2 linked regions of the Arabidopsis thaliana genome follow. The protein of the gene in region 1 binds, or shares a complex with, the protein of each later gene. Each region holds a gene or a part of one and is shown in the gene's direction. Other genes may lie near its edges.

What was found.
Region 2: AT5G23430 (region 1) and ERH3 share a complex: the UniProt entries of both Arabidopsis thaliana proteins name them as parts of the KTN80-KTN1 complex.

What each region holds. Positions count from the first base shown.
Region 1 is NC_003076.8:7,892,198-7,908,991, reverse strand, and holds AT5G23430 (Transducin/WD40 repeat-like superfamily protein), read left to right. Parts: upstream 1-8,428; 5' UTR 8,429-8,906; exon of another isoform or gene 8,907-8,996; 5' UTR 8,997-9,129; coding exon 9,130-9,157; intron 9,158-9,465; coding exon 9,466-9,596; intron 9,597-9,703; coding exon 9,704-9,821; intron 9,822-9,913; coding exon 9,914-10,140; intron 10,141-10,678; coding exon 10,679-10,781; intron 10,782-11,219; coding exon 11,220-11,290; intron 11,291-11,367; coding exon 11,368-11,442; intron 11,443-11,615; coding exon 11,616-11,759; intron 11,760-11,852; coding exon 11,853-12,198; intron 12,199-12,293; coding exon 12,294-12,806; intron 12,807-13,046; coding exon 13,047-13,106; intron 13,107-13,181; coding exon 13,182-13,303; intron 13,304-13,573; coding exon 13,574-13,708; intron 13,709-14,032; coding exon 14,033-14,107; intron 14,108-14,191; coding exon 14,192-14,304; intron 14,305-14,476; coding exon 14,477-14,593; intron 14,594-14,699; coding exon 14,700-14,768; intron 14,769-14,852; coding exon 14,853-14,919; 3' UTR 14,920-15,398; and 1 more. Other genes in the region: LCBK1 (long-chain base (LCB) kinase 1), read left to right, coding at 32-484, 568-942, 1,096-1,189, 1,305-1,342, 1,685-1,729, 1,803-1,949, 2,066-2,165, 2,725-3,659 and 1 more; FTRA1 (ferredoxin/thioredoxin reductase subunit A (variable subunit) 1), read left to right, coding at 5,214-5,762. UniProt on the Arabidopsis thaliana protein: May participate in a complex which severs microtubules in an ATP-dependent manner. This activity may promote rapid reorganization of cellular microtubule arrays.
Region 2 is NC_003070.9:30,203,724-30,217,663, reverse strand, and holds ERH3 (P-loop containing nucleoside triphosphate hydrolases superfamily protein), read left to right. Parts: upstream 1-9,395; 5' UTR 9,396-9,613; coding exon 9,614-9,741; intron 9,742-9,972; coding exon 9,973-10,444; intron 10,445-10,775; coding exon 10,776-10,973; intron 10,974-11,142; coding exon 11,143-11,387; intron 11,388-11,462; coding exon 11,463-11,621; intron 11,622-11,706; coding exon 11,707-11,794; intron 11,795-11,883; coding exon 11,884-12,165; 3' UTR 12,166-12,350; downstream 12,351-13,940. Other genes in the region: AT1G80380 (P-loop containing nucleoside triphosphate hydrolases superfamily protein), read right to left, coding at 89-332; CYCA2;4 (Cyclin A2;4), read right to left, coding at 803-862, 967-1,101, 1,186-1,335, 1,429-1,462, 1,550-1,702, 1,774-1,907, 1,987-2,079, 2,159-2,280 and 2 more; AT1G80360 (Pyridoxal phosphate (PLP)-dependent transferases superfamily protein), read left to right, coding at 7,021-7,083, 7,188-7,235, 7,394-7,522, 7,665-7,724, 7,816-7,972, 8,052-8,217, 8,293-8,401, 8,476-8,928. UniProt on the Arabidopsis thaliana protein: Severs microtubules in vitro in an ATP-dependent manner. Required for oligomerization of functional KTN80-KTN1 complexes that catalyze microtubule severing. This activity may promote rapid reorganization of cellular microtubule arrays.

The sequences.
Region 1 (16,794 bases):
TCAAGAGCAGAGAGATTGTTAGTGTACGGATATGCAGAAGAGTGGTGTTAATCGGAACCCTTCTTTGAAAGTAGCCATTCCTCAGGCACAACAGTCGCTTAGACGTTTAGGTTTTTGCTCCCAAATAGCTACGGGTGGATCTCAGCAGTCATCTCCTATAGTATTCCCTGAAAAGAGAAATAAGAAGGTGAAGGCATCTTCGAGACGTGGTGAGGTTACTAATGATCCACAGGTGAAACCGAAGCCTGATGAGCATCGGATCGATATTGGTGGAGGGGATGAGAAATCAGATTTGTTAGGTAGTCTTGTTTACGCTGGGAAGCTTGTGTTGGATAAGAGGAAATCTGCGAGTGGAAAAGATGCAACAGAGATACAGCAACCAGCCGCTACGGACATCTCTATTAAGAAAGCAGTTGATGCAAAGCTTACAAGCAGCGCTTTGGTTTGGGGTTCTGACATGCTACAGCTTAACGATGTTGTCTCGGTAGGTTTTTGTTGGCCTTGCAATGAACTAATTAACTCTGTGTTTTGGAGAACTGAGTCAACAAACTTATCTATGTTTTCCAGGTGACATACAATGTTGGTCTTAGGCATTTCACTGTGCATGCTTATCCAATTGGCAAGGGTTCTTGTGGCCTGTCTTGCTTCACGAAACCAAAGAGAAGCCGCAAGGATTTCCGCTTTGTCGCACCTACAGTAGAAGAAGCCGTTCAATGGGTGGCCAGTTTTGGAGATCAACAATGTTTTATCAACTGTTTGCCACATCCTTTAGTCGCAAAGAAACAGGCTTCGTCTGAGTTATTTTCGGTCCCCATTGATACCCCTCCTGAGTTGGTCTTCAGGTGTAAGAGTGCACCCAAAATGCTTGTCATATTGAACCCTAGGTCAGGACATGGACGATCTATCAAAGTTTTCCATAATGTCGTGGAACCAATTTTCAAGGTACCGTTCCCATCTTTTTGTTCTTTTTGGATGTTGTAGTACTACATCATCACATTATTTCCACTTTTAGGTACCCTAGAGAACCATTTCCATTTCTCCAATCCCATTATGCATTTTTTTTAATCTTGTTTATGATTTTGTGAACTGTCACAGCTGGCCGGAATTAAGATGGAGGTTGTCAAAACAACTAAAGCAGGTCATGCGAGAGAATTGGCTTCCACTGTCGACATTAACTTATGCTCTGACGGTACCTCTACTTGTTCCAACACTTAATGATATGTTTAACATATCTAGCTTCTAATATGCATATATTTTATCTTACATATCTACTATTACTTACGAGTTCTTAATAATTCTTCCAGGAATTATTTGTGTTGGAGGGGATGGAATCATCAATGAGGTGTGATAATTACCTTTCCTAAACTATACTCATTTTTTCGCCCTATTTTGGTTAGGAGTTAAGTTCATGAAGTGATGTTCCTTTTATACCATACTCCCGGTTACTTATCTGCTTACAAGCCCTGGTGCCTGAACGTACTTCGGAACCAATTTTGGTATTAAAATGAAACCTTATTGGCTTATTTCAGCGTGCTCACACCACTTTGCAAGCATGTTGAATAATTTAAGAGTTTAGATACTCTAATCCTCCAGAGCGAGGACTTTGGGATGCATCTTATAGGGAAATACTTGCTCGAGTTGAAACACATGAGAACTTTCACTATTGATTTTTCGATTGATGTAGAACTCTTTAGGTAGACTAAGATGGATTCAAAAGACTGCTTTCGATGTTAACATCTCCTAGATTCTATTTACTTGGAATGAACTCTCATCTCAAGGCCTGCCTTATTTCAATGTTTCAGGTTCTTAATGGTCTGCTTACTCGAAGCAATCCGAAAGAAGGAGTTTCTATCCCAATTGGAATAGTACCTGCTGGTTCTGATAACTCGTTAGTTTGGACTGTCCTTGGTGTAAGAGATCCTATTTCTGCAGCACTCTCTATTGTGAAGGTAACCCCGCCTAAAATCCTATTGGTCCCTGCTTTGTTTTATCCAGCCGCCAACATTAATTAGCTTCTACTTAATTAATATTTTCTCAGTGAAAGATTTTTTTTTTTTTGGTTTAGGGTGGCCTAACAGCTACTGATGTCTTTGCTGTTGAATGGATTCATACCGGTATTATACACTTTGGAATGACTGTTTCCTACTATGGTTTTGTTAGCGATGGTAAGTGAGGATACCTGTGTGCTTTGTCTTGTATGATTTTCTAATGATAAACAGTTTCTCAAGTGTAGTTAGGTTTGAATCTGTATTCCTAGCTTCTTTGTTTCATTCACCGTGTCTGCAACTGTTTAGATCTTTCATGCATTTTAGAGGAGAGTTTTTAAATCTTCCTTACTGTAATTTTTCAGTTTATCTTCTAAATATTTTAACTGGCACAGTGTGAACACTATGCTGACTCCCAAGACACATAATTTCATAGAATATTGCAGAATGTGCACTCTTCTGATGATGAGTTAGAAGCAGAAAATCGCCTAGTTATTCAAACGTATCATGGATAAACTCAAATACATTGAACTTGTGCAAAAGGCTGTAAATCTCTCTCCATTTCTTTAACAGCTCCGGTGTGTGTTTGATGTATTAGTTTGAGCTATTGGACGCTGTCTCGTGTTTGACGTCAGGATTATTGCACATATAATTACCTTCATGAATACTGTATAATGTTTGTGGCATTCACCTGCTATAACTAAATTTCATGGTTTTTCTTGTCATTATCTATTTGCAGTTTTGGAGCTCTCTGAAAAATACCAAAAACGGTTTGGTCCTTTGCGTTACTTTGTTGCTGGATTCCTCAAGTTCATGTGTTTGCCGAAGTATAGCTATGAAGTGGAATATCTTCCGGCACAAAAAGAGGATGCAGAAGGCAAAATTCGACTTGAAAAGGAAGCTGTGGATATGCAAGATCTCTACACGGATGTAATGAGGAGATCAAGCAGAGAAGGATTTCCTAGAGCCTCCAGTTTATCAAGTATTGACTCCATAATGACCCCAAGCGTAGGCGAATTAGACACTTGTAGCAGCACACATGCCAGCACTGAGCCGTCTGAATATGTCCGTGGAATAGATCCTAAAATGAAACGCTTGTCCTCTGGAAGAAGAGATGTTACGGCTGAGCCAGAGGTTATTCATCCTCAAGCACAGTCAACAACCCCTAATTGGCCAAGGACAAGATCAAAGTCAAGAATGGATAAAGGATGGATGGGGTTAACATCCGTGCAGGATCCTCCAACTCGATGTTCATGGGGGAATACCGGTGGTCAAGACAGGGAAGATATATCATCTACTGTATCTGATCCAGGTCCAATCTGGGATGCAGGACCCAAATGGGACACTGAACCGTCTGCTTGGGATGTAGAAAATTCGATCGAGCTGCCTGGTCCTCCTGAGGATATAGAGACAGGACTGAGGAAACAGAGCATCACTCCAATATTTGAGGATAAATGGGTTTCGAGAAAGGGACATTTCCTCGGCATCATGGTCTGTAACCATGCTTGTCGGACTGTGCAAAGTTCCCAAGTCGTGGCTCCCAATTCAGAACATGATGATGGTACAATGGATATGCTCTTGGTTCATGGGTGTGGAAGACTGAGGTTACTGAGGTTTTTTATACTTTTGCAAACAGGTCGACACCTTTCTCTTCCGTATGTTGAGTGTGTAAAGGTAAATTATCTTTCCTATTTTCTTACATTACGAAACCTGCAACTCGCTATGTGCTAGGAAATGCTAATCAAACGGTCAAACTCAATGCAAATATTATAAGTCTAGAATAGAATGTAGTTGATCAAATGCATGACAATTGCAGGTGAAATCAGTGAAGATAAAGGCGGGGAAAAATACGCATGACAGTTGCGGGATAGACGGGGAACTGTTTGCATTGCATGGAGAAGTGATATCGACAATGCTACCTGAACAATGCAGACTGATCGGTAACGCTCCTGGACGACATTCATAGTTAATTAATCTCATCTAAATTGTGAGGATGGTGAGAGAGTTTGGATGTTTATATATCTGGAATTCATTTTTATTGTTTTTTGTTTTTTGTCGGCGTCAAGTTTACGGTAAGTACCATCTATGTGATAAGAGAAGCAAACATGAGAGAGTATACCAAGTACATCCTTTTGTGCCATAACTTCCCTATAACTCTAAAACCCTTTGTATATTCTTTTGCCCTTTTTTGTGTGTTTTGAATTATATATGTACTGTGTACGTGTTTTCTACAACGATTTGTGTGTTTCCATTTCTTTGTTTGGATTAGTCGATCAATAACGAAATAGATGATTTGAAGTAACGAGGTTTTTGGACTAGGTTAACTAGGTGAACTTCTAAAGTGATATTATTTGTGGATTAAGAAGATTTTATTCGAAGATATTTAACTGATAGAGATTCTTTCTGTCTGACTCGGAACTTTGAAGCATCAGAGTCTCACAGATGAATATAGTAGAAGCCGCACGTTCCTCATCCCGTGAAAAAGGACACACGTCTGACTTCTTTATATTGCTGGGTCTTCTTCTCCCTTTCCTTTTTACTTCTTAAAGTTTAAACCTTTGTTATTATCCATTTCATTCACATGTTTTTTTTTCTGTCTGCTTATCATTTACACGTTTCTTGATTTGTTTCATTCGAAAAAAAATCATATTAAATTGCATCCATATAAATTTGTAGATGAAGATTTTGACATATTAAAAAAATGTAAATGCATATTTTAGCATCAATTCTTCCAACTAATAATGATAAAAAATTTCCATCGTTTGGAAATAGTAGACACTATCACACTAATGATCCGGTAGTAAACCATGTGCATGAGCCATGAGGTTAATTTGCATTCTTTCATTTGATTTTCACTCCATAATCTTTCGTTTTTATTTGGTCAGTCAAAACTCAAAATAATAACACATCTAATTTTAGTGGCTTATCCGGTGGACTGACCATCTTCAACTATACATTTTGAAAATTATTTGTATTTTAGATCAAAATTATTTATTATTAACAAAAATAAAATAAAATACAACTTATATCCAATGATATATATAAACATATATATCAATGGTCAAAATTTTTATAATTTTTAAAATTGTAAAGCAAAATATTAAGGTCGTAATAGTAAAATGTTAATTATATCTTCCCACTGAAAAAAGAAAAAAGAAAACGAATCAGTTTTATTCCACTTGCACAAATCTTCTTCACACACATTTTTTTTTCTTCACTCGGACTGATATGAGTAGCCAAATCGCTTTGTCACCGGCCATCGCCGCCGCCATTCGCCGTCCGTCCTCTCACGACTGTCTATCCGCTTCCGCCACTACTGCTACCGCCACCCCCATGGCTCTCAAATCTTGCATCGTCGCACCTCTCTCGCTATTCACCTCTCAATCTCAAATCAAACACTCAAGCTCAAGAAAAACTTCTCGAACCACGATTCGATGCGATGTAGCGATAAAATCCGCAGATTCGATAAACGCAGACGCCAATCCTTCGTCCTCACCGTCATCAGAGGAAGAAATCGAAGCGGAAGCGAAGGCGAAGATAGGATCTAGGGTTAGAGTAACTGCACCGTTGAAGGTTTATCATGTAAATCGAGTTCCAGAGGTTGATTTAGAAGGTATGGAAGGTAAACTCAAAGATTACGTTGCTGTTTGGAAAGGGAAACGAATCTCAGCTAATCTTCCTTATAAGATTGAGTTCTTCAAAGAAATTGAAGGTCGTGGTCTTGTTAAATTTGTTTCACATCTTAAGGAAGATGAGTTCGAGTTCATTGATCAGTGATGAAACAAGAAAGACAATTTTTGTTTTCCTTTCTCAGTGTTTGTTTTTGTTTGTTGTGTTTACTGGAACCTGGGAATGGAGAATGATTTGTATGTAGTGTGATGTGTATTCAACCTTTAGCAATCATATACATAAGGGTTTCTTCACTCTCTATTTATGTTGATTTGATTCATTGGCTTGATCTTGTTATTGGTTTCTTAGTGTTCGATAGATTGGAAGAAACGAAAAGTTGGATCTAGATGTGGTTTCTTGATGATTAATAAGGGCAATTTTAGGCTGCGGTTGTTTCAAATGATTCCATTAGCAAGATCAAGATCCAATTTGGGATAACACCTAGTTTACTATGTTTGCTGTTTAAGACTAGTATCATTGAAGTATCTTGAATTGAAAGGGTGGATCTTGGTCATGATGGTAAGGGTGATTAGGGAGTGGAGCTCAGACTCTCTACTAGATTGAGTTAGCACTTGAGATGTTACATAGTGTGGATCGTACTTGAGGAGTCTTAGAGAAACAGTTCCTTAGGTATTCAGATGATTTTCCTATATGCAAATCTGTGTTGTCTCTGTTTGGTTCATGTGTCTTTAGCTTATAAAATATGTTTGATTTTGAATCAAAGGTAAACTATTGTCATTCTCCTCTTCTGTCTTTTCTAGTATTTGTGAATTCAGCAGCTTCGTGGCTGTGGTATTGGTGATGATCTTTATGCTCGTGGTCGCATTTCGTCCTAGTGAGATAGAGGAGAAGGCAATCTAGATTTGTAGTCGTCATCAATCGCATTTTGATCTAGGAGATGATTGAGCTACGATTGTTAGTCTTTGAAACCTTGTGAATTTCAAGCTTTTGTTGTTGATAGAGTATATAAGCTTAAAGTCTCTAAAGGAAAGTGCTCCAAAATATGTCATCCTTATGTTTAGTTGGTGGGTCAGATTAGGCCCGTTTTTCGTTCGTGGGTCAGATTCTAGGCCCGTATCGGTTTAGCTATTCCTATTCTCATAAACTTTAAAACAAGATATTTTAGGTAGAGAGAAGCGAGTCGTCTTAGTCAAATACATATGCCCTAAGGTAGACAGGTTCATCATCATAGATATCACGAGTCTGTCATTATTCTCAGAAGAAAACTAAAAAAAAAATCTTAGTAATATGTTTAGATTTTGTGAGGAATATTATTATGGTTGTTTGATCAACTCTAACGTACTAACACGTCCATGTATCACGTCTTCCAAAGTTCAACGTTTTATAAAGATTGGAGTATTAAAATTGGAGTGGATGGAGATTCGAGCTTGCATATGAATAATACAATAATTGGATTACAAAACTCAGATTTGGTGACAGCACATCTAGGCCAAGGCCAGGCCAGACCATGGTGGCAATGATTGATTTAGCTTTTTAATTAGCTAATGCATTGTGCGCTTTCAAAAGCAAGCAGCCAAAGTATATGTAATGAGGGACAAAGTAATTTAAACTCTAAAAAGTCAAAACGCTTATATATGTCCGTAATTTTAGGTTTCTATTTCAAAATTTTGTAGTTACTGTAATCTTGTCTTTAAAAGTTGTTACAATCATCTTCCACATAAAAACTTTATCTTACCGAATGTTTATTTAATTAACATCTATCCATAAAGTTGTTTTCTTGATGTTACGTAATTGATTTCTACCACCTAATGAATTTCTTCTTTAACAAGAGAATATAAAAAACATGATTTTAAAATAGGTGTTCCTGATATTTTAATGTAATGTGAAATGTCAATTCTACTTAAATAACATTGCACCAATAAATCAAGTCCCTAATTCTAAAAATTCGACGACGGATAAATGATTAAATTAACCATTCAAAATAATTATGAATTTTTGGTTAAAGTCAAGATTCAAGAAGCATTGCAACATTGAAATCATGGTTTCACAAAAAAAAACTCTTTATTAAATAAAAAAATCTTTTGTTTTTGGAGTTAGAGTTTGTGTACTTGTAAAATGTATGGGATCGCTCATGGCCCCATGCAATTAGGTAGTCCGTTACTTTCAAGCCAAACCTTTCACCATAATTTTTTTGTCTATCCAACGTTGGTCTATCTACTGACTGTCACTGTTCTTTCATTATGGATACAAAGTTACATTTTGCTGTTGGATCGCTCACTTATTTATCCTCACAGTACGTTATCACTAATATTGTATAAAAATACTTTGGAAAATAACCGATAAGTTATATGATCATTGCATATTTGTTTTGGACGAGTTTTTTAAATGTTAAGAGATACTAGAACTGAAACACTTGTACATAAATTTTGTAACTTTTGGACAAGGGTCCATGATAATAAATTTATTTAACATCTAAGCAATAATCACCTATTAATGATTACATCGCCATTTTCCATTATAGCACCGACAGTAGTTTCATAATTCCATTATATAAAATTTCGGTCAAAACATTTTCTTAAGGATTAATTTGCAAACCGCGATTTCAGTTGTGCAATGTCTCCCCTTTTTTAAGTCTTTTATTGATTAAAAACTATTTTTGGATATGCACTAGTACTATTTTGTTCCTACAATCAGAATGTATATACTCTTTTTAATTTTCCACTGAATATACTCTTATGTAGAATAATTAATTGTTATTGTTCATTTTAGATGCAAAATACAAACATGATGGTTTCTGACAAAAAGAAACCAATGGTAAAAGTTTAATAATTTGTACTCTTCCTTGTAAATGTAAATGTGAATAGTAGCAAGATGCATGAAAAATGAGGAACTCAAAGAATTAAATGAAAAAATTGTTTTGGGAATTTGAAATAGAGAGAAGAGGGAGAAAACTTAAAAGAGAGAAGACGTAGCCAAAGGTTAAAAAAGTATCTCTCTCTCTCTCTGCGCCTCCCTTTTTGCTTCTCTCTCTCTCTTCTTCTTCTTCCTTGTGCTCTGCTCTCTGTCAATCTCTCTCTGTCTCCTTTTTTACTTCGCCATTGGAGAAAAGAGAAATCACTTTCAACTTCTCCTTAGATTTTCCGCTTATCTAAGACAACAACGAAGTTCCGAGTATTCCTCAAAAAAATTCCTCCTTTATCATTTCTTCACTTCCCCAAATTTTGTGTGTTTTCGTGGAGCAGAGTGAGATTGGCGTTTTGGGAAGACGAAAGTTAAGCCCTTTTTTGCTGGGTACGGCTTCCATTTCCTAAAGGCTTCATTTTGTATCTTTCCCAGAAATGATTTCTGGGTTTTTGATCTGTTTCCCGTTTGAGCTTTCAGATTGGTTCAGCGGTTGAGAAAGCGGAGATCTTGAGGGCTGCTTGCTTTCTTCGATTTCTCGAGATTTTGGTTTTGGTATGGTTGTTGAGAGTGTAATTTGAATGTCCTCCACTTCAAGGGTTTCGTTTCCGCCATGACCACCAAGCGAGCCTATAAGCTTCGTATCCTTTTCTTACACCAATTTTGATTCTTTTCGTATTTTTCTCTGAGATTCTATTTTTAGGGTTTGTTCTGTGTCACAAGTGCCGTGTTTGATCTACTGCTTTTATTTTGATATGCACGAGATCTGTCTGTGTTCATCTTTTTTCATGTTTGCATTTGTTCCCCGTGGAGTAATTTAATTTAAGACCTTTCGAGAAACTTGTCTGTTTAAATTTAAGACTATTATGAATGAAGTCAAGTTTGAGTTTTGACTAGAGTCTCTATCTGGTACCTATTGCTTAGCCTTGACTTTCTGTGTGGTTTAAAGAGGAATTTGTGGCACATTCTGCTGCTGTCAATTGTCTTAAGATCGGAAGGAAGTCTTCTAGGGTTCTGGTAACAGGTGGTGAAGATCACAAGGTCAATCTTTGGGCTATTGGTAAGCCCAATGCCATTCTGGTCAGTTCTCGGTCTACTGTTTCATTATGTGTTGGTTATAAGTTAGTAGAGTGTTTCTATGGGATTCACTCTTTCTGAGTATCTCATTTGTGCTTGTTTGTTGTCAGAGCTTGTATGGGCACTCAAGTGGAATTGATTCAGTGACGTTTGATGCTTCGGAGGTCTTAGTTGCAGCAGGAGCTGCTAGTGGTACTATCAAACTTTGGGATTTAGAGGAGGCAAAGAGTAAGTTTTGTAGTTCCAAGAGACCATTCTTATTGGACTCGATTTGACTTCTGTGAGTACTTACGTGTTCTTTCACTTGCTTTGTTGAGTAGTTGTCAGGACTCTCACTGGTCACAGGTCCAATTGCATCTCAGTGGATTTCCACCCTTTTGGTGAGTTTTTTGCGTCAGGCTCACTAGACACAAATCTTAAGATATGGGATATACGAAAAAAGGGCTGCATCCATACTTACAAGGGTCACACGCGAGGAGTCAATGTACTCAGATTCACCCCAGATGGTCGCTGGGTTGTATCTGGAGGAGAGGACAACATTGTTAAGGTTGGTAGCTGCTTTCATGTCACTAGTCATTTTTCAGTTCTGGGTATGTGATTTTATCTTCTCTACTGTGGAGGGAAATACAGCTGCTTAGTTGACATAATTAGTTTGGATTTACCTTTGGGAGAATTTGGAGCAATGAAACTGCGCTTTTGGTTATAGACTATGAACTGGCTTTCGAGAGTTGGTAGGAATAAGCTTTTGTTCTAATTCTCTTTGTATGTATCTCATGAATGACGTTCTGTAGTAAGCATTGCCCTTTAAGTGTGGAGGAGAACTTGCGACTATTTAGTGTTACCTCTCTGCACCTGAGCTGAGTATGCTATATGAGAGTATTTAGGACGTACTATTCTTTTGCATTTTGCTAAAACCCACATAGACCACCCTGGCCAACTATTTCGGATGCTTCATCTCTCTCGGTTATTGCTTCTTTACCTCTCTCAGCGCACTGTATTGTTATCTTGAAAAGCAATTTACCGGGAACCTTTTTTTTTATCTTTCTGTGTGTTAATGGATCTGATATGCAGCTTGTCTTTACCAGGTTTGGGATTTAACAGCTGGAAAACTGCTGACCGAGTTTAAGAGTCATGAAGGGCAAATTCAAAGCCTAGATTTTCATCCTCATGAATTCCTACTGGCAACAGGTTTGTATTACTCTTAAAAATTTCTAACACCAACACAAAATAAAACTTCTAGGCTAAGAGTGTCTGATCACAACTGTATTGCGGTTACCAGCCCAGCCCAACCAGTTATATAGATCCCTGTGTCATGGCGTCATCTTCTTTTTATGTAATTGAAACTCTTGTGGCCATCTTATCTTTTTAGCTCTGTGATTTGAGATCTGGAAGTAAATATGCATCTAAAGTATTTTTCATTTCTTTGGTCATATTATTGAGGGTGTGTGTAACATAGATATTTTCAGAATGGTGCTGTGTTGTGTAGATAACAATAGAATGCCGACGTTTTAATAATGACTACTTCTCTCACTCTCTGTTAACGTTCACCTAAATATTTACATGGAATATGTAAAATTAGTGTGATTACAAATATTTGAAGCATTCTGTTTTTGCCTGTGCTAACAGGTTCAGCTGATAGAACTGTAAAATTCTGGGATCTGGAAACATTCGAGCTGATTGGTTCTGGTGGACCTGAGGTACAACTTGTTTTACGCTAAGTCAAATTGGTGACATTTTATTTTCCCTCTACCTTTAATATTCTCATTTTCGCTAGACTGCCGGGGTCCGTTGCCTGAGTTTCAATCCAGATGGAAAGACTGTGCTTTGTGGATTGCAAGAAAGTCTCAAGGTAAATTCTTCTATACTTTGATATGCAGTATGTAGATTCTTAAATTAGATATATGTTAATTGAACAACTCATCTTTTGAAGGATTCGTTCTTATGTTTACTCATTTGCTTTCAAAATACACATTCCTACTCTTCTTACCTCACTCCTTTGGTTTAATCCTGTGCAAATCGTAGATTTTCTCATGGGAGCCAATTAGATGTCATGATGGAGTGGATGTTGGATGGTCAAGATTGTCAGATATGAATGTTCACGAGGGAAAGCTTCTTGGTTGCTCATACAATCAGAGTTGTGTAGGCGTGTGGGTTGTAGATCTCTCGGTATTCCTCTCTCCCTACATATCTTTTTCTTTTTGTTTAATTGTAGCTGGTAGTAATCTTTACGAACCAACTCATTTTCAAATGCATGGTCAGCGTACTGAGCCATGTATGGCTGGAGACACTGCGCAATCAAATGGTCATCCAGAGAAACGATCTTGCTCAGGAAGAGATCCAGTAGTTCTCAATGATAATAACTCAAAGACAGTTCTCGGGAAGCTGTCCGTTTCCCAAAATGTAGATCCTTTATTGAAGGAAACAAAGTCTCTAGGAAGATTATCTGTTTCTCAGAACTCTGATCCTTCGACAAAAGAAACAAAGTCCATTGGAAGGTCATCAACATCACAAAATTCAGAGTCCTCGATGAAGGAATCAAAGCCTCTCGGGAGGTTGTCAGTTTCTCAAAATTCAGACGTTTCTAAAGAGTCAAGGACGTTTTCATGTATGCTTGCTTCTATTATTTTTCTCTTTTCTTCTTACTTAATCTTAGCACTGATTAAATGATATGCCATTTCTGGTTTTGTCTGCTGTTTGAAGCCACAGGAAGTTTACCAGGCACTCCTCATAGGGTCAGTTCGACCAATGTATCAAAAGCCACTTCGGGTGTTTCAACAGCCGTCTCTAATGCTGCAACGTCAAGGAGGAATTTTACAAAAGCTAACCCAAAGGCGAATCCTGTCAATAAGGCAGCAGATTTTGCTCCGGTGATTGTCCCCAGAGCAGACCCTAGAATAGAGCAGGCTACTGAATCCAGAGCAGAACTTGACATAATTGCAAGAACCATGCCGTATTCATTGCAGGCGGCTGATTCCCGAAGGTCACCTAGCAGCAGAAATAACCCTGATCTGCCAGACGCTTCGGTTCTTGAAATGTCTGAGTCTCAGCCAGTTGAACCAAATAATATACCAGATGGGGGTACACTTCCTGGTGGAAAGGTTGGCATGCGGGGTGCAACTGAGCGAAGCATTAATGATTTTAGATACAAGAGATATGGCAGGAGTAATTCAAGGTCACGGATGGGGTCACCTCCACGAAACCACGATGAAAACTGTATGTTTTTGTCCTTTTGAATATTTGCCTGTTTCAGTGCTAATATGAATGTCAGCTGGTAGTCTTACACTACCTTGGCCCCTAAAATGTGGCCTGTAGGGTTAATATTATGAAGTTGCTCCAGTGAAACATGCAAATAGTGGAAAGAATCATGTGTTTAAGATTATTGGTTGCTATGACGTACCTGTGTTGAGTTTGATAGATGATATTCTCAGTTCTAAGCTTTAGTCATTGTTTCAGATGACTTGGTAAGCCACAGATCAAATAGAGACCCAAGCCCCACTGAAAGTCAGAAAGGAGGTGATTCTTCAGCCCAGCTTTCATCTTTTCTTTTGCAAATGAAGCGAATCTCATTCATGTGTCTTATCATATCAGGAAGATTCCAGTCACTCGTCATAAATAGGGAGAGGAGAGGAAGATTTTCAAACTTCGAGGGTCCTGTTTCAAATTTTTCAAGTGGAAATATGCCTGCTCCAAACATCCGCCCTTCAAATATGGTATAATAGCCTTACTATTTTCAACTTGAGATCTTGAGGCAATAACACACTGACTGTAAATTGCCACAAAAGAGGAAAGTTAGAAAGTTACGGACAAAGAGGAAATTAATGCATTTGATTTATACAATTTCAAATGGTACTGCCTTCATAACATCTTAATAGACATAATATTTTGTGATTTAGTAATTTTCAACTACACATCTAGTCATGCTTTTGCTCATGTTCCTCTGAGATCCAGAGATAATAGATATTGTATTTCCTTTCATATAGTTCAAGCAGAGAGGGAACCATATGCCAGTTGAACAAGGGATCGATTCTCCTTCTGAAGAAAATATTGTTGAAGACATAATGGGAAAGCACAATCAATTTGTCAGCTCTATGCAGTCTCGTTTGGCTAAGTTACAGGTAACGTGAAACCAGTCACGTTGTGACAATTTTGTTGGCTTAGCCCTAATTAGACTAGTACCTTGAATACTTATTAGAGTTTTCATATGCTTATGCACGACCACTTAGCATGCGTAGAATTACTATTTCAACACTTGGCATGTTTTAGCTGGGAGTGAAACGCTGGACATGGTTCTCCTCTTCTGCTTATTGAAAATTTTGGTCCTTGTTTACTTATGTTGGTGGATTTTATAGGTGGTTGAGATGTCAGAAGCTTCGCAAAGAGTTAGGGATTGGAAAGACTCCTGATTTATTCTGTCCTAAATTGATTCACCAAATTTGCAGGTAGTTCGTAGATATTGGGAAAGGAATGATGTAAAAAATTCGATAGGCTCGATAGAGAAGATGGCTGATAATGCTGTAAGTATCTTCTTTTTGTATCAGTAGCAGGATATATGAAAAAGATTATCTGCTCACGCCAATCTTCTTATTCATTGGTTACAGGTTACTGCGGACGTACTGGGTATAATAACCGAGAGAAATGAGATTTTGACACTGGATAATTGTACCTCCCTTCTTCCCCTTCTAACAGCTCTTTTAGGGAGCGGCATGGATCAGTAAGAACTCGCTTTTCTGATTTTTAAAAAATGGCAGAGTCGTCTTTCTAAACTTATCATGCCTCATGGATGCATTAATAGGCTTGATCTTTATGGTCATAGATATAGTACATTAGACTAAGAATTCTTGATTTGTTCTCACAGTGTTTGCTACACCATATCTTATATTTAGGCATTTGAGCGTTTCCCTGGATTTGCTGCTGAAGCTTGTCAGACTGTATGGGTCACCAATTTACTCATCACTGTCAGCTCCAGCATCTGTTGGTGTAGATATCGAGGCTGAGCAAAGGTTTGCATGTTTTTAACCTTATGTGCATATCTATAAGCCATTGTGCGTGATAAATTTGATAGCATACTCTCTTGGAACTCAACAACACATGTTTACTGCAATATAGGATCGAGCGCTACAGCCGTTGCTTTGTAGAGCTAGAGAAAGTCAAAGCATGCCTTCCCTCTCTAGCAAGGTAAACGTCTGAAGAATCCATAATTCTCATTAATTGTGTAAGAATCTATGTGGCTCAAATGATTATGTGATGGAATTTGTGTAGAAGAGGAGGTTTGGTGGCCAAGTCTGTGCTCGAACTCAACCTAGCATTTCAGGAAGTTTCATCATAATAACTATGAGTCTTACAACCCTGGACAAAAACGCAGAGCAAAAGCCCGTCTTCCTCGTGGAAGAACCTGCATCATCCCAAGTCCCCAACCATCTGCTTTTTGATGTGGATTTGGTTCCAAAGGGAGTCTAACAAAAACTAAAGGCTGATACTTACTAAGTTAACCAAAAGAGTTGGAAGGCAAAAATCCTCCCAAGTTAGCTGCTTCTGGTCACTAATCTTTGTCTGCATTGTTCTAATTTTGGTGTGTAGTAGAGAGGGACAGAGAGAAAGAGAGAGAGCCATTGGGCTGTGTATTGTTCTTATGAGAGTACTGCTTGAGTTTCTACTCGTCTGAAAGAGACATGTTCAGTGTTCTCTCGAAACATGAATAGAGGTTTTTCGCGGTTTCTTGGATTTCTTCATGTCGTTGTTCAATCTTATGTTCTTCGTTATTAATTATGAGCCAAAAAGAGCAAAAATGGAAATGAATTCTTCATACTAAAATTCGTAAAACACACAGAAAAGCAAATAAAAAAGGTGTCATGAACAATGTTTATTGTAGGCATTCGGTTAACCATTCGGTTTCGCTTCGGTTGCGCATGGTTTCGGTTATTTCGGTTATAGTAATATAAGAACCATTTGGATATTTGAAGAATTTTGGTTCGGTTCGGATATCTTTCGGTTCGGTTCGGTTTGGATATTAAACTTGGTAACCATAAATAAACTAAAACCGAAATAACCGACTAAAAACCAAAACAACCAAAATTTTTGACCAATACCGATATAGAACGTACGTAAAAAAAAGAAATATTCACAACTCACAAAGATGGTCCATACTCTCCATAATATTAAAACACCTTATTCACAACTCACGAAATTCAACTTGCAAACTAATAAAGAGAAAAACATAGTTAAGTGTTAATACATACAATATATGTGATATATTATCTATCATACATATATGCTTTGGTTATCCTTTGGTTATCGGTTACGAACCTAACCGAAACCGAAACCGAAATCTAAGACATATAATATCCAGCCAGTTATTTTAAGCTATCCAAACCCAAACCGGACCATGTTTTTCGGTTCGGTTCGGTTCGGTTAATCGGTTAGCGGTTTTTTTGCCCAGGCCTAGTTTATTGGATCATTTTTCACAAAATAGTATTTCCTTGGCCTTTGTTTAAGTATTTTTATTACTTAAACCATGAAAAATGAACTCAACCACCATTAATGCAATCTGTTAACAAAAGATCCATTGAGGTAGGTGATAGAGGCCAAATCAAATGTACTGCATTACACATTTAAAGAAGAGGAAGAAGAAAGATAAACTTGTCGAAAGTAGAGACATAATAAAACAAAAAACACAAGAAGTAATAAAAGAGAATAGAGAAAATCTGCAAAAACTGCAATAAATCCAACAGACTAGAGTTTTCTTGAGAAAACGAAATTGCCAAAACCATGTAACGGAATTGTCATCAACTACCTAACAAAATAATTTTTATTTCTCTACAATAATAAAATATAAAAAAAGGGAGATGTGAAAATTGACAGTGAAGTAGCTAGCATTATCCCATGCCTCTGCTCTGCGTTTACGTTAAGAGACCACGACCAAACAAGCTTCTGCTGTACAAACTTACTCTTCTTCACCTTCTACGTACCCTCCCTTTTTTCTCGAGACCAAACTGTTCATTTTCGTTTGTCTCTTTTTGTAGTTTTAGATTCTCTCCTCCATTTTTTTTTTTTTTTTTTTATCGCATTATTGTTGAATACTCGTATGTTTTTATCAACTAGTGTTAGTCCCTTATCAAACTATCTTTTAATTTGTGTATATGTAGCCTTGTTAGTATATTGTATAAGATTGTTAGGGATGAAATTTAATCATGGTCGTCTCCGC
Region 2 (13,940 bases), on another chromosome or scaffold:
AAACAATCATCAAAAGAAAAGAAAAGCAAACCTCAAAAATTAGAAGGAAGCGAGGAAAAGAAAAGAGATTATATTTGGAGGCGTTTACCAGCGAAAGAGGAATGGGTTCGAATTGGAGAAAGCTTGGAGGATAAATAAGAAGAGGAAGGGTTAACGACATGGTCGTTAAATTTGGGGGAAGAAGGAGAGAACGAACGTCTTTTGAAATTAAAAGAATTGCAAATTGGATTAGAAGAGTGACACGGAATCGGATAATCTCGGATATAAATCCGATTATTATAATGCTGAAGAGTCGACGATATCAAACTACTCCCAGATATTGCGACCGCCATTCTCGACCCCTTTTCTCTCTTGACTCTCTGACTCTCTCAAGCAGAGCGACACATCAGCAACGAGGAAGAAGAAGACCAACTTGATAATTTTTTATTATTGGTTTTTCGTAAAACGAAAAAGCAATTCTTGCCACATACTATGTGAGTCACAATTTCTCCGTTGGATAATGTGTAATTAATGCTTTGTCTCTCTGTCAACTGTAATAAAAAGATAAAATATTCGAAGCAGACCAGATATTGCCTTGAATAAACCGGGGGAAAAATGTACATTCCACTACAATTAACTCGTGTTACCGACAAGAACAAGTCCGGTTTGAAAGAACCAAACCTGTCTACAACTAAACCGAACTAACACCGAATCCGGTTACTTGGTAATGATGAGAGACCGTGGGAAGACACTGTTTTATTTGACAGACAGATGAATGTGGACCATCAGAAAAATGTTACTACAGATTCGTGTGTCATATCGGTTAGGAGATGAATAGCTTGTCCGGTAGCTCTCCAGAACTGAATACCGCCACGGATTTGAACTGTAAATTGCCAAAAAAAAAAAAAAAAACTGTTAAACCGAAACAGACCAGATTTCTTCATTCGGTTTAAGAAAACCAAACTAAGATTAATAATTTTTTAATACCTTGTCCTGTCTATACTTCATGCGTATAGAGTTTAAGGAACATCCTTTGGTGTTAAGCTGTAAATCTTGCAAGGCGTGGACAGATGCTTTGAGATCGGAGGCTTTGTACGTTGTGTAATGCTCAAGAGTTGGATTCTGTTCATAAAATAAAGTAAACAAGAGTGAGATTCAAGATTCGCTGTGTTTCTTAATGAAGAAGATAGTTGGTCAATTACAGACCCAAGGGTGGCTTGATTGGTTTAATGTCCACTTGGCAAGAAAAACAGCCGAAGCAGCGATGATCGAAGGAAGGAACTTCAAGAAAGGGTAGTCCATTAACGTCAATTCCGTTAGGTAATTCGCCAGAAACTCCATTTCCAGACTTTGATTCTGCAGACAAATTACCAACAAAGTTTCAATCTTTCTGCTACATGTTTTATGAGCAATAGATATATCTGATCTGATAAAAGAAAAGCACATTACCGGGAAAGAAACTTGAGCTGCTCGAAGAAATCTCCTGCAAAAATGAATGAATACTCTGAATCACCAAAGACTAAAAAGCAACAACACATGATAAAGCATTTGCACTGTCTGGTAAGATTACCTGAGGAATGTTTTTGAAGTGGGGGTGTAAATTTGAAAGCTAAAATGCTTGAGTACTTGGCTCTCCATTTCCAGGACCTGATCTCTTGTATAAGTGTTATCCGTGATGAAGCAGAACTCCTCAATGCGTGGCGCATGGATTTCCTCATACTTCCTGCAAGAACTCTTTTAGATGTTGTGTTCAGACCAGAGCATTATTTGATTTTAGGTGGATGAGGAACTTACGAAGCAATGAGCATACAAGTGATGCCAAGCAATTGAAGTCTCTGTCTTTCCACATAGTTTCCATGGAGAAACCAGTCTATGAGATACACTGTGAGGTAAAGAGTGTCAGGTACAAGTGTGTATTCCTCTGAGACCTGAAATTTTGAGTTGTGAGAAGCTACACAAAAAGACTTCATAAGTAAGCAACAAACAAACTGGAAGTAGAGAACTAACCTCTACAAGCCAATCAACAAGAATTCCCCGCATTGTCTCAGTCACATCTCTTTGTGTTTTCTCCATAAAATCAGGAAATGGTCTTCGTTTAAGCTGATAAGTAGACAAGTCGTAAGGATTCAAATGCCTCAAATGCATCATCGTAAGATATCAAAATCCAAGGGATAAATACCTCAGCAACACGCAGGTTGTAGTAGATGTCAGGTGCATAAAGGCTACAGAGTAGAGGATCTTTGTCATCTGAATCAATGTCAACGAATTTCGGGCTACTTGCTCCACCACAACTTCTCTCAACTGTAAACCATTTGCAAGAATAAAGATGCATCAGAAATGTTATACATTGCCCACTCAAGCTTCAGTAAATGACCATTTATAAAATTCACCTGTCCCAAAGGGTCTTGGAGGCGATCTGGAGCTTGGCTTTGCGATAATGCTATAGGATGTTTCGTTTGTGCCTAAGCTTGTATCTGTAAAAACAGACAAGCTTGCTCCTGCTGAATTTGACACAACTTCTACCTTTGCATCTGTAACTTGTGAAGTAGCCGAAGAAGATGCCACCTTGGAAGAAGAAGAACTCTGTCGTCCCTTCTTTATCTGCTTGATATTCTCCACCTAAGTAAAAAGAAGAAGCAACAATTGTCAGCAAAAACATACTTCTTGTCATATAAACTTAGCAATTCTAAAATGCTGCATTGTGTAGTTAACAACCGCAACACTGAAGCAACTTGTGTAAGAATTCTCGCAGGTAACATTAGTGATATCCTTAAGAACAGCTCGCTTCTTAGGTGCATTGGCTTTCTTCTCATCCAAGGCTGTTCTTTTACTCTTTGCTCTAAGAACCCGTCCCTGGTTCTGTGTTGTAGCAGCCACTTCAGAAGATGTTATCAGCTTAGAAGAAGCACGCAGAGCAGAGGCAAGAGCACGAGTTACAGGGCGACCATGGATTGGTATAGAGTTTCCAGAAACAGCATTCTCCTTCCCCATGATTGAAACCCTTTGACACGATCCAACCCTTTTCTAACGTTTGGGACTTAGCACCACATTAACTCTCGATCTGTGAATTTGAAGTCAAGAGAAATCGAAGATCAATGGCATGAAGATTAAACAAAACAGAGAGATATATATTTATCTATGCAGAGTCCAATGCATATAAGATGTTTGGAGAAATTGTTTATTCTAAACGAGGATTGTTTATCTGATCATTCATGACTAGACAAATAATTGCAACACGTACTTGTTGTTTAAGTTCGTCGAATCAAGTTCCAAAGTTTCAAGTCAGATTCAAGTTGAAAGAACAAGTCTTTGTGAATTACAATTTACTTGTTGACAAAAACTTGAAAACTGTAATGCAGAAAACCCTCAACGCTCGAAAGAAAAAGTCTTAGCAATTTTAGCAAAGACGGGAGCGACTTGCGCAGAATTTGGAGATAATTAAATTTGAAGAAAAAATTAGTAAAGTTTCTAAATTTCTTTCATGGGTTTTTATATAAAAATGTTTATCCATAAGAAATAGGAACAAGAAAAGGAACGACTAGATCAAATTTCTTCTGAGGATAACGAAAAGACCCATGATTTAAAGCTGCAAGATCTCCCAAAAAAACCTATCGATCCGTTCGTTAAAAAAAAAAGTAATCAAAGTCACATTTTCTTTAATCCAAGAAAAATCCGAGTGACCCATGAACCAAAAAAGCTTCAAAACCAAGATAAAGTTTCAAGAAACCCTCCAGGAGAACCGCCTCAAAAAAAAGAACAGAGGGTCGGCATAAAAATAATATCATCACATTTCACAAGCAAAATAAAACAGAGAAGATGGAGATAGAGAGACTAAGATAGAAACTTACTACGCTCCAGAAATTTCTTCAAGAAGAAGAAGAAGAAAAAAAGTCTTTTTTTTTTTCTTTATTAATTTGGGGAAATGAGCTCTACGAACAGAAAAGATGGGAGCTTGGGCAGATCGAGAGAGTAAATGGGTTATAGTCAATTCGCTTTTATGCAAAGGGACTGTCTCTGAGAGTGAGCGGGATATAGAATGGTTTAAAGATATAAGTTTTATATTCTTTTCTTTTCTGTATATAAAAATAGAAACTTTATTTTTATTAGAGAAAGAAGTGTTTGTTTATGTGCTTATAACGCAACTCATTGACTGTTTGACCATAAAACAAGGGGATAAAGAAAGAGCTAACACTACAGTTTAGTTTGCTTGGGATTTTTTTTGATAAGTAATTTGTGGTTAATCTTTTCAATTTGGTACGTGATTGAACATAGATTTTTCTTTAGATTTTGGTAACTAATCATTTACCTTATTTTCACCCATTGCTAGTTTGGGTTCTGTGTCATTTCCATTTCTCCATTAACCTGTTGTATGTAATTAATGATGCAGATTTTGTTTTTCTTCTCTCTGTTCGAATGTTTTTTTTATATTTACTTTTTGTATTAAAGTAAAAGAACGATAGAGAGGAGGAATAGTTACGTTTTCCAAGAAATGTGTCATAATTTATTTACATAGATAGTAACAGCGCATTTTTTAAAGACAGTAACAGCGTGGCTATTCATCCAAAGGTAAATAAAAATGATTAAATTACAAAAAACTCTGTTCAAATTTTGAAGATTTGAAGAAAGATTCCACCATTTATTTTTTTAATGGTAAAGTTTTTAACTTTTGAATAGAAAAACTAACTAGTAGTAAAAAAAAAAAAAAAAAAAAGACCAAATGCACGTTTACCCCAGAATCACTCTTCTGATATTTATATTTACGTTTCTATGTGTCTTTTAATATTCCTTAATGCTTATTTGGACTCCACATGCATGTTAAGTAAGAATCCATCCATAAATTCTACACTATCCTTTCAAATTTTTAAACATTTTGTAGAAACTTAAAGAACCCGTTTCTATTTCTATAGGATTTGCTCCGTTTTAAAATCATACTTACGACGCTCCCGTGGTCTTTGTATACTATTGAGTAAAAAGATAACATGCATTATGTGATACTAACACTTTCTTTATTTCGTGTAAAACAAAACTTATGTCTAATTTTCTCATCGGTTACTTTGACCAAATCTACGTGAAATAAAACTTGGAGAGTTTTTTCTGCGATTAAACGTTATATACAACACTCTTTTTAAATAATACTAGGAGTTATGAAAACTGTATTAGATCTCATTGTACTTGACATAATCAGTTTAGAATTAAAAAAAACTTAATTTAAAACAAAAAGAAAATATGATAATAATTACTTTTGATGCTTAGATCCGCAGGATCCACTTAGAAAAAGAAAAGATACTTAGGACATGAACAAATAATTAAGTGGTGGAATCTGCCATTTCAGGTCTTGTTATGTTTAAGACCTTGGTAATCTTGTATGTTATACATTATTTCACATCTTACCTATAGCCGTTTTATCAAAATATAGCAGAAGTTATTTTATTTTTTTAATATTTTTTTGTTTGATATATTTTCTTATTCAGAATTATCTTTGTTTTCAAACTTAATTATTTATTTTTGCTGTTGTTTCGCGTTTGAAGCAATTCAATTACGAGTTTTAACAAAAACAAAAAGAAGAAGTTCGAAAAACTATCAGATTTGAAATGAAAATGACAAATCTTTTAAAGTTAAAGTTGAGTCTATTTTGTTCGGTAGTACGTGAAAGGGCAGTAAAGTCTACTGATTAAGTCAAAACTTTCATATGAAACTTTGATGTTAAGTGATATAATCGAAGAAAGCATCACAAACAAACAAAAGTATCCTTGGGATAATTATTTATATACAACGCACGAGTAATTCAAAAGCTACAGTGAGGAGCTATAACCAATAGTCTCACTTACCACATGGGAAGTTACATAATCAAAGCTCATGGATTTCAAATTTAGGATATATACAGTATGTTCTATTGTATATGTATTGGACTAATGCGTTAAAGCTGTTATAGTGTGAGAAGGACGTAACGAGAGGTCTTCGTGGACCTAATAATAATAACGTTTTACGGTTTTATCCAAAGACCAAAAAGCTACTAGATCTACGATTCAAACCAACACGCATAAAGATGAAAATTAAATTTTAAAAACAGATCTATAATCAACATGTCATGTTTGGTTGGTCTATTTTTTTCAAGTTTTTGAACACTCCCAACTTTCCCTCCACTCCTTTAGTTTACCACAATACCCAATCTATCTAAACATGTAACCACCAAACTCCAAATAATTTGCATGGCATGTTTGAGTAATGTGATCCATGAATTTGCTTCTTTTGTAACAACAATGCTTCTTTTGTAACAACAACAAAAATGTCTCGTGGAATATATGTTTGTGCCATTCGGATGAAAAATGAATTGAACGATGAAAAGGGCTGAAGAAAAACAAAGGGTTCGATTACCAAATATATAGAAACATGAAGGGCCTTTTATGTGATTTATTAGGGAAATGATAAACGCAATCAAGAAAAATAATTCTACGTTTGAAACGTGACGTTTGATTCTTTTTCTCAGGGCAAAGGCAAAGCAAATCCTCTGGTTGATCAGTAACATGTGGCAGAGGAAGAGGAATCAGACACTGCAAGGAACACACACGAGAAACGTCTCTCTCTTAGTTCTGGTAAAGTTTTGACCTCTCTCTCTCTCTTTTTCTATCAGAATCTGTAGAGTAGTAATGGATTTTTAAAGCTGGTTGATAATAATTTTTGGATCTAAGTAACAAAGGAAAGGCGTTACTCTTTTTTTGTTCTTTTCAAATTGGCGTAAAGTAAAGAAACTACTTTTTATTTATTTTCTCTTAAATAGATTAGATTATGATTACACCAAAAATAAAAAAACATGAAGTAAAAAACAAGGGTAGGTGAAGAAGAAGAAGAGGACAAAGAACAGGCGTGCTTAAGCAACGCTCATCTCTGTTTTAGGTTTTTGTCAACGATCCCTTTTGCATTAGGTTGAGAATTAATTCTGAATTTCTTGCATACTAGCCAGTGTGTATATATAATCAAACAATTCGATCCTAATTGGAAAATTTCTCCATCAGGTTCAGGTCTCGATCGAATTGATTTGAAATGGGTTCGTTTGGGATGCTTTCGAGGAGAACGTTGGGCACTGATATGCCCGTCATGGCTCAGGTCAAACCTCGTACTTCTCCACTTCCATTTTCATTTGATTTGATTTGATTGGTCTCTTGTCTTTTTTTCTTTAAAGTGAGAAATTGTTGGGGTTTTGCGTGCAGATTCGGAGTTTGATGGCGGAATTGACGAACCCCATGTCTCTCGCCCAGGTTTTGCCCTCTCTAGAAATGTGTGTTTTATTTATAATCTAATCTAGTTTAGTTCACAAAAGACTTGGGCTTTCGTGAGTGGTCACCTTCTTTGGCTATACTTTGTCTGGAGTTTTGTTTTGTCTGCAGGCTGATTCTTTTGCTCATGTGCTTTTCAGGGAGTGGTGCATTGGCAGCCTCCTCAAAAGGCCTTAGAGAAGGTCAAGGAGCTTGTCTGGGATCCTATCATTAGTTCTTATGGCCCCGATGAAGGTCTTCCCGAGTTGAGACAGGCTCTTCTCAAAAAGGTAATCGCACCGTACTGAACCATTCTTCTAGCTAGCTCTGGCAACCTTTCTTGTATCCAATAAAGTGACCACTTTTGCTGCTCTTGAATCCAATTCCGTGACTGAGCTTGTTTTATTTTTGATTCCTTGTCTTGTTCTGAAGCTGCGTGAAGAAAACAAGCTAACCAATTCACAAGTGATGGTTACTGCAGGTGCCAATCAGGTATAACCTGTCTTTGTTTACTCTTTTGATTGCTCTTCCTTCTGTTTTCTTCTACTCTCATACTCTGTTTCTGTTTTTGCATCTAATGTAGGCGTTTGTGAACCTTGTTATTACATTATGTGATGCTGGTGATTCGGTTGTCATGTTTGAGCCATACTACTTCAACTCCTACATGGCCTTTCAGATGACAGGAGTCACCAACATAATTGTTGGTCCTGGCCAGTCAGACACTCTCTATCCTGACGCTGGTACCTCCTTGATTCTGTATCACGTTTTTCATGACTTAACATAGCTTTAGTTGTGACCAGTGAATCATTTTTGTTCCAGACTGGTTAGAGAGGACACTGTCTGAGTCTAAACCGACTCCGAAAGTTGTAACTGTTGTGAATCCTGGTAACCCAAGTGGCACCTATGTCCCTGAACCGCTGCTTAAGAGGATTGCTCAAATATGCAAAGATGCAGGGTGCTGGCTGATTGTAGATAACACATACGAGTGAGTTTCTCATTTCCTTAATTCCTATGATGTCCAAATTGAATGTAGTAATAAGCGGGGATTTGAAAATCGCAGGTATTTCATGTATGACGGTTTAAAACATTGTTGCGTTGAGGGAGACCACATTGTTAATGTCTTCTCTTTCTCTAAAACCTATGGCATGATGGGTTGGAGGCTTGGATATGTGAGTGCTCGATTCAATTCTATTCCAAACTAAACACTGGGATTGTCTTATAAAAAGGTTTGATGGACCTGCAGATAGCTTACTCAGAGAGATTAGATGGGTTTGCAACAGAGCTTGTGAAAATTCAGGACAACATCCCAATCTGTGCTGCCATAATCTCGCAGCGACTGGCTGTATACGCATTAGAGGAAGGTTCTGGGTGGATAACGGAACGGGTAAAGAGTCTAGTGAAGAACAGGGATATTGTGAAAGAGGCGCTTGAGCCGCTGGGGAAGGAGAACGTTAAGGGAGGAGAAGGAGCGATATACCTGTGGGCAAAACTGCCAGAGGGACACAGAGATGATTTCAAGGTGGTGCGGTGGCTGGCTCACCGCCATGGTGTGGTGGTGATCCCGGGGTGTGCAAGTGGTAGCCCCGGGTATCTCCGGGTTTCCTTTGGAGGGTTGCAGGAGGTTGAAATGAGAGCTGCAGCGGCGAGGCTGAGGAAAGGAATAGAGGAGCTGCTTCACCATGGAATGGTGGAGTGAGACGTTGTTTAAAGAAGGGTCAAAAGATGGTTACTTTGCGTTTGGTTGAAGCTATATAGTTGTTTTAAAAAGAAATAAAAGAGTGTTTGTTTATTCAATAATCAATATAGCTGATTCTTCTTTACAAAGTCATTGTATTTGGGATGTTGTTACCAATGGTTGAATCCTTAACCCCTTTGGTGTATGTATATACTCTTTACTTATTCAAATGAATAATCCAGCAATGAATGCAAAAGCAAAAACTGGATCAGCTTTATTCGTTATGAGTCTTTCTCTAAATTCAAAAATTTAAATTCGAGTCTTATGATTGACGTTATGACTTGTGAGAAATTGATAATCTGGCCTTTTATTTGAAATTTTAATTTCTGAACCCAGAGGATAAATAAAGTTAAAATCGATGATGATTTTAGGCTTTATTGGTTTGAAAGTGGGCCGTAGATGGGCCCGAATCTAAAATATTTGAATCGAACCCGAATAAAGAAAGAGAGGTTGGATCATAACTACCATCGACGTGGCTTCCATCTTCTTCTACTTTGTCTTCCATCTTCGCCGACGAGTCACATCTCCGAAATCCGGAGCCGGAGAGGGAGAAAGAAGGAGAATTTGGGTTCTCCGAGATCGAAGCTCTTGCCTCGGAACCCTTGATTTTGTTTTGGAATAGGCTATTTTTTTAGTAAAAGAGGAAATGGTGGGAAGTAGTAATTCGTTAGCGGGTCTACAAGACCACTTGAAATTAGCGAGAGAATATGCACTAGAAGGATCCTATGACACATCTGTCATCTTCTTCGATGGCGCCATTGCTCAGATCAACAAGTAAGTAGCTCCTCTTATCTCTCCAGTCTTGAATCTAGCTTTTTTGTCACCCCTTTTGGCAATTTCTTCAAGCCCTAAGCTACTTTAATAGTTTCGTGTTGGATTGTATTGAAATGGGCTTAGAAAAATCTAGAATTTTGCAATGTTCACCGTGCAATGTCTGTGTAGACAGAGATAGAACACTCTTATGTGCTGCGTTAGTGGTTCTGAAGCTATGGTATACTGTTTTAGGCATTTAAACACCCTTGACGATCCTTTGGCCCGGACCAAATGGATGAACGTTAAAAAGGCCATAATGGAAGAGACGGAAGTTGTGAAGCAATTGGATGCAGAGAGGAGAGCATTTAAAGAAGCTCCCACTGGGCGTCGCGCTGCTTCTCCACCTATCAATACCAAATCATCCTTTGTTTTTCAGCCCTTGGATGAGTATCCAACTTCATCCGGTGGTGGTCCTATGGATGATCCTGATGTGTGGAGGCCTCCTACCCGTGATGTTACTAGTCGAAGACCCGCCAGGGCTGGTCAAACTGGTACTAGAAAATCACCTCAAGATGGGGCTTGGGCTCGTGGCCCTACTACACGGACCGGTCCAGCTTCCCGTGGTGGCAGAGGTGGGGCTACTAGTAAGTCAACTGCAGGTGCCCGCTCTTCCACTGCCGGAAAGAAGGGAGCTGCCTCAAAATCTAACAAGGCTGAGTCTATGGTAAGTTATATGTTTTTGCCTTTTGGTATTGCACAATAGAGAAGGTTAAACTTGAAAATTTTCCATCAATCAATATTGACTATGGCATTTCCATTTCCATTACTTTACTTTGGTGATAGACAGGATGTCATGAAACTTCGAAGTTGTTATGTTATAGTAGGACTGATGTATCAAAGATCATGATTTCTGTTACGTTTATGAATGTCTAATTCTGAAATCTGTATTTAGAAACTTTAGAGTCATGGCCATGTTTCCTGTGGTTATGTTGAGTCGGTAGTTTCCACCTATTTTCAACAACTAATAAAACTTTCGGCTTCCTCGTTGATATCAGAATGGTGATGCTGAAGATGGGAAGTCAAAAAGGGGATTGTATGAGGGACCTGATGAGGACCTGGCTGCTATGCTTGAAAGGGATGTGTTGGACTCAACTCCTGGTGTCCGTTGGGATGATGTTGCAGGTTTGTCTGAAGCCAAAAGGCTGCTTGAGGAGGCAGTTGTCCTTCCTTTATGGATGCCCGAATACTTTCAGGTACTTTGATTCTGCTCCATACGCTGTGAAATTTGGATTCTATATTACTATTATTAGACATGGAGCAATCATACAGAATAACAGTTTCAATTCATCATTTCCGTAGACTTTATATTTGATCTTCCAGGTATAGAGGATACTTAATTTGATTGTTTTTGTTTCCCTTCAGGGTATTCGAAGACCATGGAAAGGAGTTCTCATGTTTGGTCCTCCTGGGACAGGTAAAACCCTGTTGGCAAAAGCTGTTGCAACTGAGTGTGGTACCACCTTCTTCAATGTATCTTCTGCTACATTAGCTTCAAAATGGCGTGGAGAGAGTGAGCGCATGGTCAGATGCCTGTTTGATCTGGCTAGGGCATATGCTCCAAGCACAATTTTTATTGATGAGATCGACTCTCTCTGCAATTCTCGGGGGTAAATTTTCCTGACGATACTGAGATTTCGATACTGAAATGAAAAGTATTTGTAATTGGTGGAGGTGTGATGCAGGGGTTCTGGAGAGCATGAATCATCAAGAAGGGTGAAATCGGAACTCCTAGTTCAAGTAGATGGAGTGAGCAATACAGCGACAAATGAAGATGGTAGTCGCAAAATAGTAATGGTATTGGCAGCTACCAACTTCCCGTGGGACATAGATGAAGCTCTCAGGTTTAAATATTCTTTGAGTTAATGCCGTCTTTAGACTTGCTCTAATATAATGAAATTGCTGATTCTGGAGCTCACGTTGGTGCAGGAGGAGGTTGGAAAAACGTATATATATCCCACTTCCAGATTTTGAAAGTCGTAAGGCTCTTATCAATATCAATCTGAGAACAGTTGAGGTTAGTTGTGGATACATTGTTACAACACTCGCAAATCTCTCTACTGGTCCAACGCAATCAATTTAGCAATGAACATTGTCACTTTTCAGGTGGCGAGTGATGTTAACATTGAAGATGTGGCCCGGAGAACGGAAGGGTACAGTGGAGACGATCTGACTAACGTGTGCAGGGACGCATCAATGAACGGGATGCGGCGTAAGATAGCGGGGAAAACGAGAGATGAGATAAAGAACATGTCGAAAGACGATATATCAAATGATCCAGTGGCAATGTGTGATTTCGAAGAGGCCATTAGGAAAGTGCAACCGAGTGTGTCTTCCTCTGATATCGAGAAACACGAGAAGTGGCTCTCTGAGTTTGGATCTGCTTAATTAAACCCACTTTTTTTAATTTAGTGTCAAAAGATGTGTGCCTTTTCTTGTGTGTTGTTGTTTATTGTATCATTATTATTATTTGCCAGTCATTTAACATATTCTTATGTTTCTATATTCCAAACTTGTAAACCTCTACGAAAAAAGAAAAGGATTATATGATTTTCTTCGGTTTTTTGGCTTCAGACTTAGTGTTCATAATTTCTTTACTGTCTTAGAAGAAAAAAACCAGCAAAGAATCACCTTGGTCTTTGTATCTCCAATACGTTGCAATCATTTTGAAAGTATTTGTATATTTTGTAAATGATAGGGATTGAAACATCATCCTATCGTTGACCAAAAATTTCACTGCGTGCTATATAAAATACTATATATGTTACCCTTTAACTGATGAAAATGTAAAGAGACAAGGCAGCACCGTTTATCATCAGACCAGTTTCGAGAGTGTTCCTGCATCGTTGGGCTCCCTCCTCAATTTTGTCTACGTGATTATATATCATATCGTCTACAAACAAAATAAATACAATTCTATCATATGAATATGTGATCATCGATGATCGATCAATATATGTTTTCGAGGTGACGTATATAGTATATTTCCGTAGAGACGGCGAAGAACATGATATCTCTGCATGCCTCCAATCAAATCTTTACACTTCATCCTTCTTCGTTACTTGTTCAGTTGTTCCTTTCTAATCCCGACAACCCTTAATTTGTATTTCTATATTAGATCGAAATATCTCATTTGTGATAAATAAAATAAAAAAAATCAAAGAAAGCTATAGAGAAGCTGCGTGCATGCATGGGTTGGCGATGTTTGGCTTGTTATGTTTGGCTTGTTATGTGGCATTATCTGTATGTATATTACCCTAAATCACATCTACGACATTTCCCTCGATCTTCAAAATATGCCAGCAATCTTCATGTTTCCTCATATCTCTTAACATTGGAAAATGTCTTTTGACCTCTTTTGATGTATTTTAAATTACTTCGAGCTCATCTATATTACAAATCATTCATGGTGAATTATTGTCCAGCCAATAGAATAGAAATCTGAATATAATGTGTACCACATCTTTTATGTAATTTATACGATATTCTTTTTCCTGAGAATGATCAAATAACAACATGCATGAATTGCTGCCAGAAAACGTCAGATTGATCAGTTATCACTACAATTATCAATTAACTAGTAAATAGTATCAAAATGTACGTAGTGCCCATCTATAGCTAGCTAAGGAGGACTCCGGATGTAGAGAAAAGCTAAAATGTGACTTGCTAGAGTTGTATTATATTGAATTTTCTAAACTAATAGTATCTTTTTTACAGATAATAATTTCCGGAAAACCTATTAGATGTATAGATATAACAATAAGCATCGATACCAACCTTTTACTTCCAAAAAAAAATAAAAAAAAAATGCCAAGATGAGATAATTTTGTCAATTTCAATTAGTGGGAAAATAACAATTGTCGTGTTATTTTTGAACCAACGCATCTCAGTGAATGATTTCCCAGTTCTTAAGATTTTAGGACATACTTTCCCAGTAACATCTAATCCGTTTGGGCATAAACAAGACAATTTGTAGTTATGTACATTTCTTAGTGATGTGTGTTGAAAAGATATGAATCAATGAGGTCCGACATATTTTGTCAATACGTTAGTGGTGTTTCAAAATAAATTTTTAGTATATATATTAAAATAAGACCAAAGGATAGGCTTTAGTGGTGTTTCAGGTATAGTTTTAATAATCAATTCAAAATAAGTCGAAAGGA